Sus scrofa: one gene and its partner. The protein of the gene in region 1 binds, or shares a complex with, the protein of each later gene. Links are inferred from orthologs where the notes say so. Each region holds a gene or a part of one and is shown in the gene's direction. Other genes may lie near its edges. The genes, in order: RAB11FIP2 and RAB25.

Region 1 (2,998 bases):
AAGGCAAAAAGGGAAATAAATTGTATAGGTATTAGTACTAAAAGGAGGAAATAGACTAGTTACTCAGGGGAGAAGAAGGTCTGTTTGCCTATAAGTTAAAACAGTAGTTCCTCCCGTGGGGTTCTTATAAAGGATGCCCATAAGGATTTAATTCTTAATGCCTTCGACATTTCGTAACATTGCAGAAGCAGATCCGATATTGCTTTTTCCTGGTAGCCATCTTCAATAAAACGGTAAAGGCATGATGACATTAAACTACAGTTCAGTGGAAGAAATTCCATGAGGACTAAACCAGTGTCCAAATGCATAGTTTCAGTAGCTTCTTATATTTCTTATAGTTAATTCTTGCAGATCTTTTGGTTTTGTCTCTTCGAATTATGTTTATTACAGAACATTTTATCTCTTTATTTAACCTTAAATTATACGGTCATTTTCTTATATTGGGACCTTGTCCACACGGTAGAAATAGTTTTAGAAGAATTTAGGGTTGTGATCAAGGCTTTGGTGCATCTGCCCTGGTCGTTTCCTCAAAACAGGGGCCAGCCATTCTATGACCGGTCACATTGGTTCTAGCCAAGGATAGAGAGAAATTTGACGAGGGTTTGAAGAAAGTTGGAGCACAAAGCCATTCATAATTTGTCCCTGATATTGTCTCTCTTAAGACGACCATCTTTATCCTGTTCTAGGACAGCAACCCTTTTGATGCCACGGCGGGCTATCGTAGTCTGACCTACGAGGAGGTGCTGCAGGAGCTGGTGAAACACAAAGAGCTCCTCAGGAGGAAGGACACCCACATCCGGGAGCTGGAGGACTACATCGACAACCTCCTCGTAAGGGTCATGGAAGAAACGCCCAGCATTCTCAGAGTGCCATACGAGCCGTCCAGGAAGGCTGGCAAATTCGCCAATAGCTGATAAGCTAATGGTACTGCATTTGTAACTGGGGGGAAAAAGAAAGGAAGAATGAGAAAGAAAAATAGAAGAAAAGCTTGTTGCTGAGAGAGACCACACTATCAGGTTTCATTACGTACTCTCCTTCATTGTGAAAAAATTGTTTTACTTGTAAATATTAGCAGAGACTATCAAGAGTGACCTTTGAAGTGAGCTAAATAATTTCAACCTTTAGCGTGAAAATGGGCCAGATGCTCGATGAATAAGCAGTTCCTTAGGTGCTGGTGCCGGCCCACTAACCTCCCATAGGCCTAGATTTTCTTGAGAAGAACATGACTTATTCCTCAGGAATAGATTTCCCATAAAGCAGAATTGATACTGTGGTTGGTTTCTCAGAAGTCAATTTGCAGACATTTCGCTGCAAGAATACTGCTCATTATAAACACTACTTTAAAAAAGTTCCTATTTTATATACATATAGATGTACATGAATATCTGTTCATGTATCTTTGTATATAAAATATATGCAATACCTCTTATATACGTGTGTTTTTAGAACATTTTAAAACAACTGGTTGCCTCTAAAATTAGGATACCAGTTAGGATTTCTTAATGTGAAAAGGTATGTGTGCTGCTCTGTCGATGCAAAACAAATCATCATTGCTCCGATGATGGTCTATTAGCTTCTTCAAATTACTCTTGACTACGTGCACCTCGGTTTCAAAATGAGCTGCTACTATTTCTCCAGCATCAGTTTTTTTCTCTTTTTCCAAAAGTAATGATCCAGAGTCCTATTTAAAAGAATGACATATTTTAGGAAACTTCAACAGCATGAATTTCTTGAATTTTTTGTCTTAACATTTGAGTTTCGTTTGAGCTCTAAGCCGAAGGTAAGCAAACATGATTTGTTCAGATTCTGAATGTCTTTAAAATACTAGCAAAGAAAAGATTAGGAAGTTATAGCTGAAGATAATTTGGGGGAAAAAAGTATGTGATCATCTGATGCCTGATAACCCAAAGCAGTGAGCAAATAATAGGAACGAAGAATTAGGCTTGGTTGCAAGTTATCTAATAGAACAGATGGTTGCATTTGGGTTCTGAACCAAAATAAGAGTTGCTAAAGGAGAGGTGAGTGTTTGGAACACATCTTTACTAGTACAGCTTTTTACATCCACCCTTTAGGAATTGTTTTATCACAAGATTCTGAGCGGCTTTTCTTTAAAGTCCGCTCTCCTGAAATGTTGACTGCTTTCATAAATTATCTTTATGTATTTGAACAAAATTAGTCTTTAGAGTGAGAGATAATGAGTAAAAATATCACTAATCCTCTACTGCTTATTTTTAACCCAAAAAGTCTGTGGTACTGTAATATACTGAATCTGTGTCTTCAGAATTGAAAATGAAAAATTCAGCAGTATATGGAGACATACATTCCCCAGTCTTTTACCAAACTGTATTTTTTGTCTAGCATTTATCTCTACCAAGACTTCATTGAAAGTTAAATACGAAGGACATGAAATAGTTTTGTTCGGTTTAATGTTTTAAATCAGATAATATTTGGCCGAGCTTGTATTTGTAAGCTAAAATTACTATTATATGTATTTTCTGGGTTTCTTTACTTTTCCTATGAGAGCATACATTTTGAAATTCTGACACATTTTCCCAAATGCAGAAAATTAGATAGTTCTTAAAATGAGGAAACAGAGAAGGAAAAAATAGCTTTTATCAACTTTTTCTTCCACTTATGAATTTCTGTAATAAACCTCACAATCTGATGTAGAATTTTATTTTCCCATTTGAAGTCTTGGTAATCACTACTTTTTTAACCTGGTGCCATTTCTAGTTATCGTTTATCAAATGTTACAGAAGTCTAAGCATTTGTTTTTTCTTTTAGTGTAATTGAAGTTCTTGCACTTTTCAAAATACTGAAGTCCATGTGTTTTCAGTATTATGACAGGTTATCTGCAGATATTTTAGTATGCTTTGGCCAAATTTACTCTTTATAGAATGAACCAAGATGTCAGTGTCATATTGGGGGTATGTTTTATGTAAATAGAGCTCATGAAAAAGTATGGTTCAAGTACTACTCTTCTTTTTGTAAGGAAATT
Region 2 (4,564 bases), on another chromosome or scaffold:
CCCCTGGTGAAACCTCCCCCTGGACTTTGGGGGGAGGGTGGGACTTTGTTTTTCCCAAGAATAAACTTCAACTCCTGTCTTATGTCTTGGCTGCTCTCTTGGATGGCGGGAATCAGAGGAGCTGGAGCGTAGCGGGGTTGCTTCCCCGGCTGCTCACGTTCTGCAAGGATGGCTCTCCACTTGCTCCTTCACCGTGACCTCCCACCACCAAATGGTTTTGGCAGGGGTGCCTCGGCTCCCTGGGCCTCTCCAGTGGTGTGGCCTCACCTGGCCCCTGCCATGCAGAGAAGAATCTTACCCACCTGCATGGCGAAACCTTGAGAGTGAGCTCAGAGGAACAAGGGGCTGGTGGGGGTCATGTTGGACAAAGAGAAGAAGGGGGCTGGGAGTTCAGTGTCCTTCAGTCTGGACCTTGAGAGGGTGGGTCCGCCTTTTTTTTTTTTTGGCTCTTTAGGGCCACACCCGCAGCATATGGAGGTTCCCAGTCTAGGGGTCGAATCAGAGCTGTAGCTGCCGGCCTACATCACAGCCACAGCAACGCGGGCTCCGAGCCGTGTCTGCAACTTATACCACAGCTCATGGCAATGGCTTGATCCTTAACCCATGGAGCGGGGCCAAGGATCAAACACGCATCCTCATGGATACTAGTCGGGTTTGTTACTGCTGAGCCATAAAGGGAACTCTCGGGGTCACCTTTTCTACTCTTGGAGTTGAGAGGGGAACCCCTCTGGCTGCCTACAGGAACTGCCCCTTTCCTCTTCTCTAGCCATTCACATGCCTACACAATCTCCAGATCAGGAAGACGTTTGCAGACATGATGTCTTTGCTCTGAAGCTGCAGGTTGTGGGGAGGGAGTAGAAGGCGCCCAGAAGTCTTGTCCCTACACTCAGACCCCTCATCCCATCTGGCAGTTTCTGCCCCAGGTCTCCCCCTACCCAACATCCTTAGAGCAAGGCTCAACAGGGAGCTCTCAGCCCTGTAGGAAGGGACCTGTCCCAGGAAGCAGGTAGTTTGGAAGTTCCAGCTCCACCTAGGCTGAGAAACTGCCCATCCCAGGCCCTGGGCTGTCAGGGAGGGGCAGGAGTTGCTGTATCAGAGATGCAACTCCCAGAGCTCTGCTGCAGCAGGGTGGCCCCAGCCCCTCCCCACAACTGCCCTTTGTCTGCGGTCCCCAGTTACTCCTCACCACAGCCTCTGAGGCAAAGCAGGAGGACCAGTCATTTTCTGCTCCCTGAGGGGTTATTCTCCACTCCCAAGTAGCTGGCCCTCTTAGGGCCACAGGTCCCAGGAGCCTAGCAGTGTGCATTCTGTCCTTAGCTGGCTCTCTGGAGGTCCTGTCTCTCCCAGCTGCCCCCATTGTCACTCCCTCAACCCTGCTCACCTGCTTGCAGGAGCCAGGCTGAGAGCAGACACCCAACCTGTCTAACCTGTCTGACGTCATTATCTCTCCACCCACCTGGGCCCCAGGTCTCCAGCAGCTCACTCTTCCTGTTCTCAGCTTCCGTCCTCTCAGCTTCCTTACAGCACCGCCACCTGCCAGAGCTGAGCCTCCCTAGGCTCTGGCCTTAAGTCAGCCATCGATCCTTCTGGCTGCTGACCGTATTTTTCCCCTCCATGAGAGGAAGGCCGGATCCAGGTCTCTTGAGAGCTGAAGGTTGAGGGCACTGAGCCAACGCATAGACCCTCACCTCTGCCCTTGAAGACGTTTGTGCCCTCCATGCAGAGCCAAGATGGGGAACAGAAGTGAAGAAGATTATAACTTTGTCTTCAAGGGTGAGTTGGGGTCCATAAAGAAAGAGACCAGCAGAGCCAGAGGGCCCCCCTCCTGTTTTTTAATCCCTTAGCAAGATCCCCTCCCAGGGCTCATCATTCCTTCAGGTCAAAAAGAAAGCCACAGGGAGTGGGGAGGGTCTTTTTACTGGGACAAAAGCCCGGAGCTGCAGGAATGCTCTACTGTTGTCAGTAATGACACAGTTGATCACTCCTTACCAATGACAACTGAGGCCCCTCTGCCCACATCCTAATAGAAGCCCAAATCCCTAGGAGTAGTCAGCTACTGCAGCACGAGAGACGGAGGTCAGACTTCAGAGAGGATTCCCTCCAGAGAAGAAGGGGAAGAAATGCATCTTTCTGGGCAGGTGTACAGGAAAGGAGAGATCGGAGAGAATGATCCCATCACAGGGCTGGATGAAGACACAGATGTAAGGAAGAGGGCACAGGGAATGGAATCTGGAGGACTCCTAGTGCCAGGGCCTTGTCTGTCTGTCCCTTGGCACACCCCTTGGGCCCAAATACCAGGAACTGGGTTCAACTTTCTGTCCCTGGACGTCTGCAGGTATCCTTCCTGCTCCTTTATCTCCTCCCTGTGTTTGGCCAGTCTAGTGTTCCCCGCCCCCCACCTCCACACCTCCTTCAGGGCAGGGTGGACTGGCAGTGCTGCGATTCCCTGTCCAGCCACCCCACCCCACCCCACTGCCTCTCCCAGCCTCAGCCCCAGCCCCAGCCCCACCCTCACCTGAGCTGGGACTCTCCGTCAACCAGGGATCGGTGAACCTGTACTCCCGGCATCTTTCTCAGGAAGGGAGATAGGGTAAGGGTTAGCAGTAGACTGGGGCAGTAATACTACTAGTAACCGCTGTTTGTTGAGTTCTTGCCATGTGCCAGCTACTAGTTCATTAATCACCACAACAACCCCAAATTTTGAAAACACTTTGAAGTCAGGAGCGGGACCAAGTTCAGATCTCAGCCCAGCCACTTACTAATTATTGCAGAGGGGGGGTCACTAGAAGCAGGCGCTGAGAAGTTTGGAGTGTAAGATATTTACTGTGGATCAACAACAGTGAAAAGAAGAGGGAGGACACAGGACTGGGCAGAGGGAGAAGTTGCACTGCAAGGCAGAATCACAAAGCCTCGGTCAAGGGCAGGGAGCTGGGGCATTGGGTGCAGGCTGCCCGGGGAAGGCATGACCTCAGGTGAGGCTGCTCCCTACAGATGTTGGACTTCCCTGTTGTGGCTCAGTGGGAATGAATCTGACTAGCATCTGTGAGGACGTAGGTTTGATCCCTGGCCTCGCTTAGTGGGTTAAGGATCTGGTGTTGCCATGAGCTGTGGTGTAAGTCAGAGACACAGCTTGGATGAGGCATTGCTGTGGCTGTGGCGTAGGCCCGTGGCCATCGCTCCAATTCGACCCCTAGCCTGGGAACCTCCACGTGCCATGGGTTCAGCCTTAAAAAGACCAAAAAATAAAATAAAATAAATAAAATAAAATAAAATAGAAAGAAAGAAGGAAAGAAACAGATGTCGAAGGAGCCAATGGCTGAAGGCTGTGTGCTGACTGCACTCCCTGCAGCTGGGGGCAAGCTGGGGGCAAGTCCTTCGTGGAAGCCTCATCTGGGCACCACACCTCGTGTTTACCACACTAGCTGGATTGTCTTGCGCAAGTCATTTAAAAATGGGGTGATATTAATAATGGTACTTGCCTTGTGACTTTGTTGTGAGGATTAAATGGATTCGTATGTGTAAAGCCTTTAGAACAGTGCCTGGCACATTGTAGGCACTCAATAAATGTTAACCATTAGTATCTCCATTTTACAGAGGAGGTGAGACAAAGAGCAAGTAGCTTTCAAAATGTTACAAAGTCAATACTCAAACCCAAGTCTATCTGACTCCAAAGCTCTTTCCCCAAGTCCTTCTGGGGCCTGAGGATTGAGTTCAGAGCCCATCCACTGGGAGGGCTGAGAGGTGATGAGATCCCCAGTAGGGGGGAGAGAGAGTGGTAGGAACACACACACACACGCGCGCACACACACACACACACACACACACATGTCCATACCTCCTCTTACCCACATATACCCCTATTACTCCCAGCTCTTTCCTTCCCTAACAAATAAGGAATCTTTTTTTTTTTTTTTTTTTTTTTTTTGGTCTTTTTAGGGCCACACCTGCAGCATATGGAAGTTCCCAAGCTAGGGATAGAATCAGAGCTGCAGCTGCCAGACTATACCACAGCCAAAGCCATAGCAACACCAGATCCGAGCTACATCTTTGACCACATCAGAACTTTCAGCAACGCCAGATCCTTAACCCACTGAGTGAGGCCAGGGATCGAACCAGCATCCTCATGGATACTAGTTGGGTTCGTTACTGCTGAACCACAATGGGAACTCTACTCTTTTTTTTTTTTTTTTTTCAGCTGCACACGCAGCATGTGGACGTTCCCAGGCCAGGATTTGAACCCGTGCCACAGCAGTGACAAGGCCAGATCCTTAACCCATTATACCACAGGAGAACTCCATAAAGAAGGAATTCTTAAAGTTGGAGAGAGGGAATTGTGTCATGGCTCAGTGGTTAACAAACTGACTAGGAATCACGAGGTTGCGGGTTCGATCCCTGGCCTTGCTCAGTGGCTTAAGGATCCGGCGTTGCCGTGAGCTGTGGTGTAGGTTGCAGACACGGCTCGGATCCCGTGTTGCTGTGGCTCTGGTGTAGGTTGGCACCTGTAGTTCCAATTAGACCCCTAGCCTGGGAACCTCTATATGCTGCAGGAGCGGCTCTAGAAAAG

What was found.
Region 2: the proteins of RAB11FIP2 (region 1) and RAB25 are in contact, whole or in part, in a crystal structure (PDB 3TSO), measured with the Homo sapiens proteins. The link is inferred for Sus scrofa from reciprocal best matches to the Homo sapiens genes RAB11FIP2 and RAB25. Residues at the interface, in NP_055719.1 of Homo sapiens: Arg475, Glu478, Ile481, Asp482, Asn483, Leu485, Val486, Met489, Pro493, Ser494, Leu496, Arg497, Val498, Pro499; in NP_065120.2 of Homo sapiens: Arg34, Ile45, Gly46, Val47, Glu48, Phe49, Ser50, Thr51, Lys62, Trp66, Arg73, Arg75, Ala76, Ile77, Ala80, Tyr81.

The regions. Positions count from the first base shown.
Region 1 is NC_010456.5:128,070,058-128,073,055, reverse strand, and holds part of RAB11FIP2 (rab11 family-interacting protein 2), read left to right. Parts: intron 1-686; coding exon 687-914; 3' UTR 915-2,998. UniProt on the Homo sapiens protein: A Rab11 effector binding preferentially phosphatidylinositol 3,4,5-trisphosphate (PtdInsP3) and phosphatidic acid (PA) and acting in the regulation of the transport of vesicles from the endosomal recycling compartment (ERC) to the plasma membrane.
Region 2 is NC_010446.5:93,967,630-93,972,193, reverse strand, and holds the start of RAB25 (ras-related protein Rab-25), read left to right. Parts: upstream 1-1,451; 5' UTR 1,452-1,730; coding exon 1,731-1,773; intron 1,774-4,564. UniProt on the Homo sapiens protein: The small GTPases Rab are key regulators of intracellular membrane trafficking, from the formation of transport vesicles to their fusion with membranes.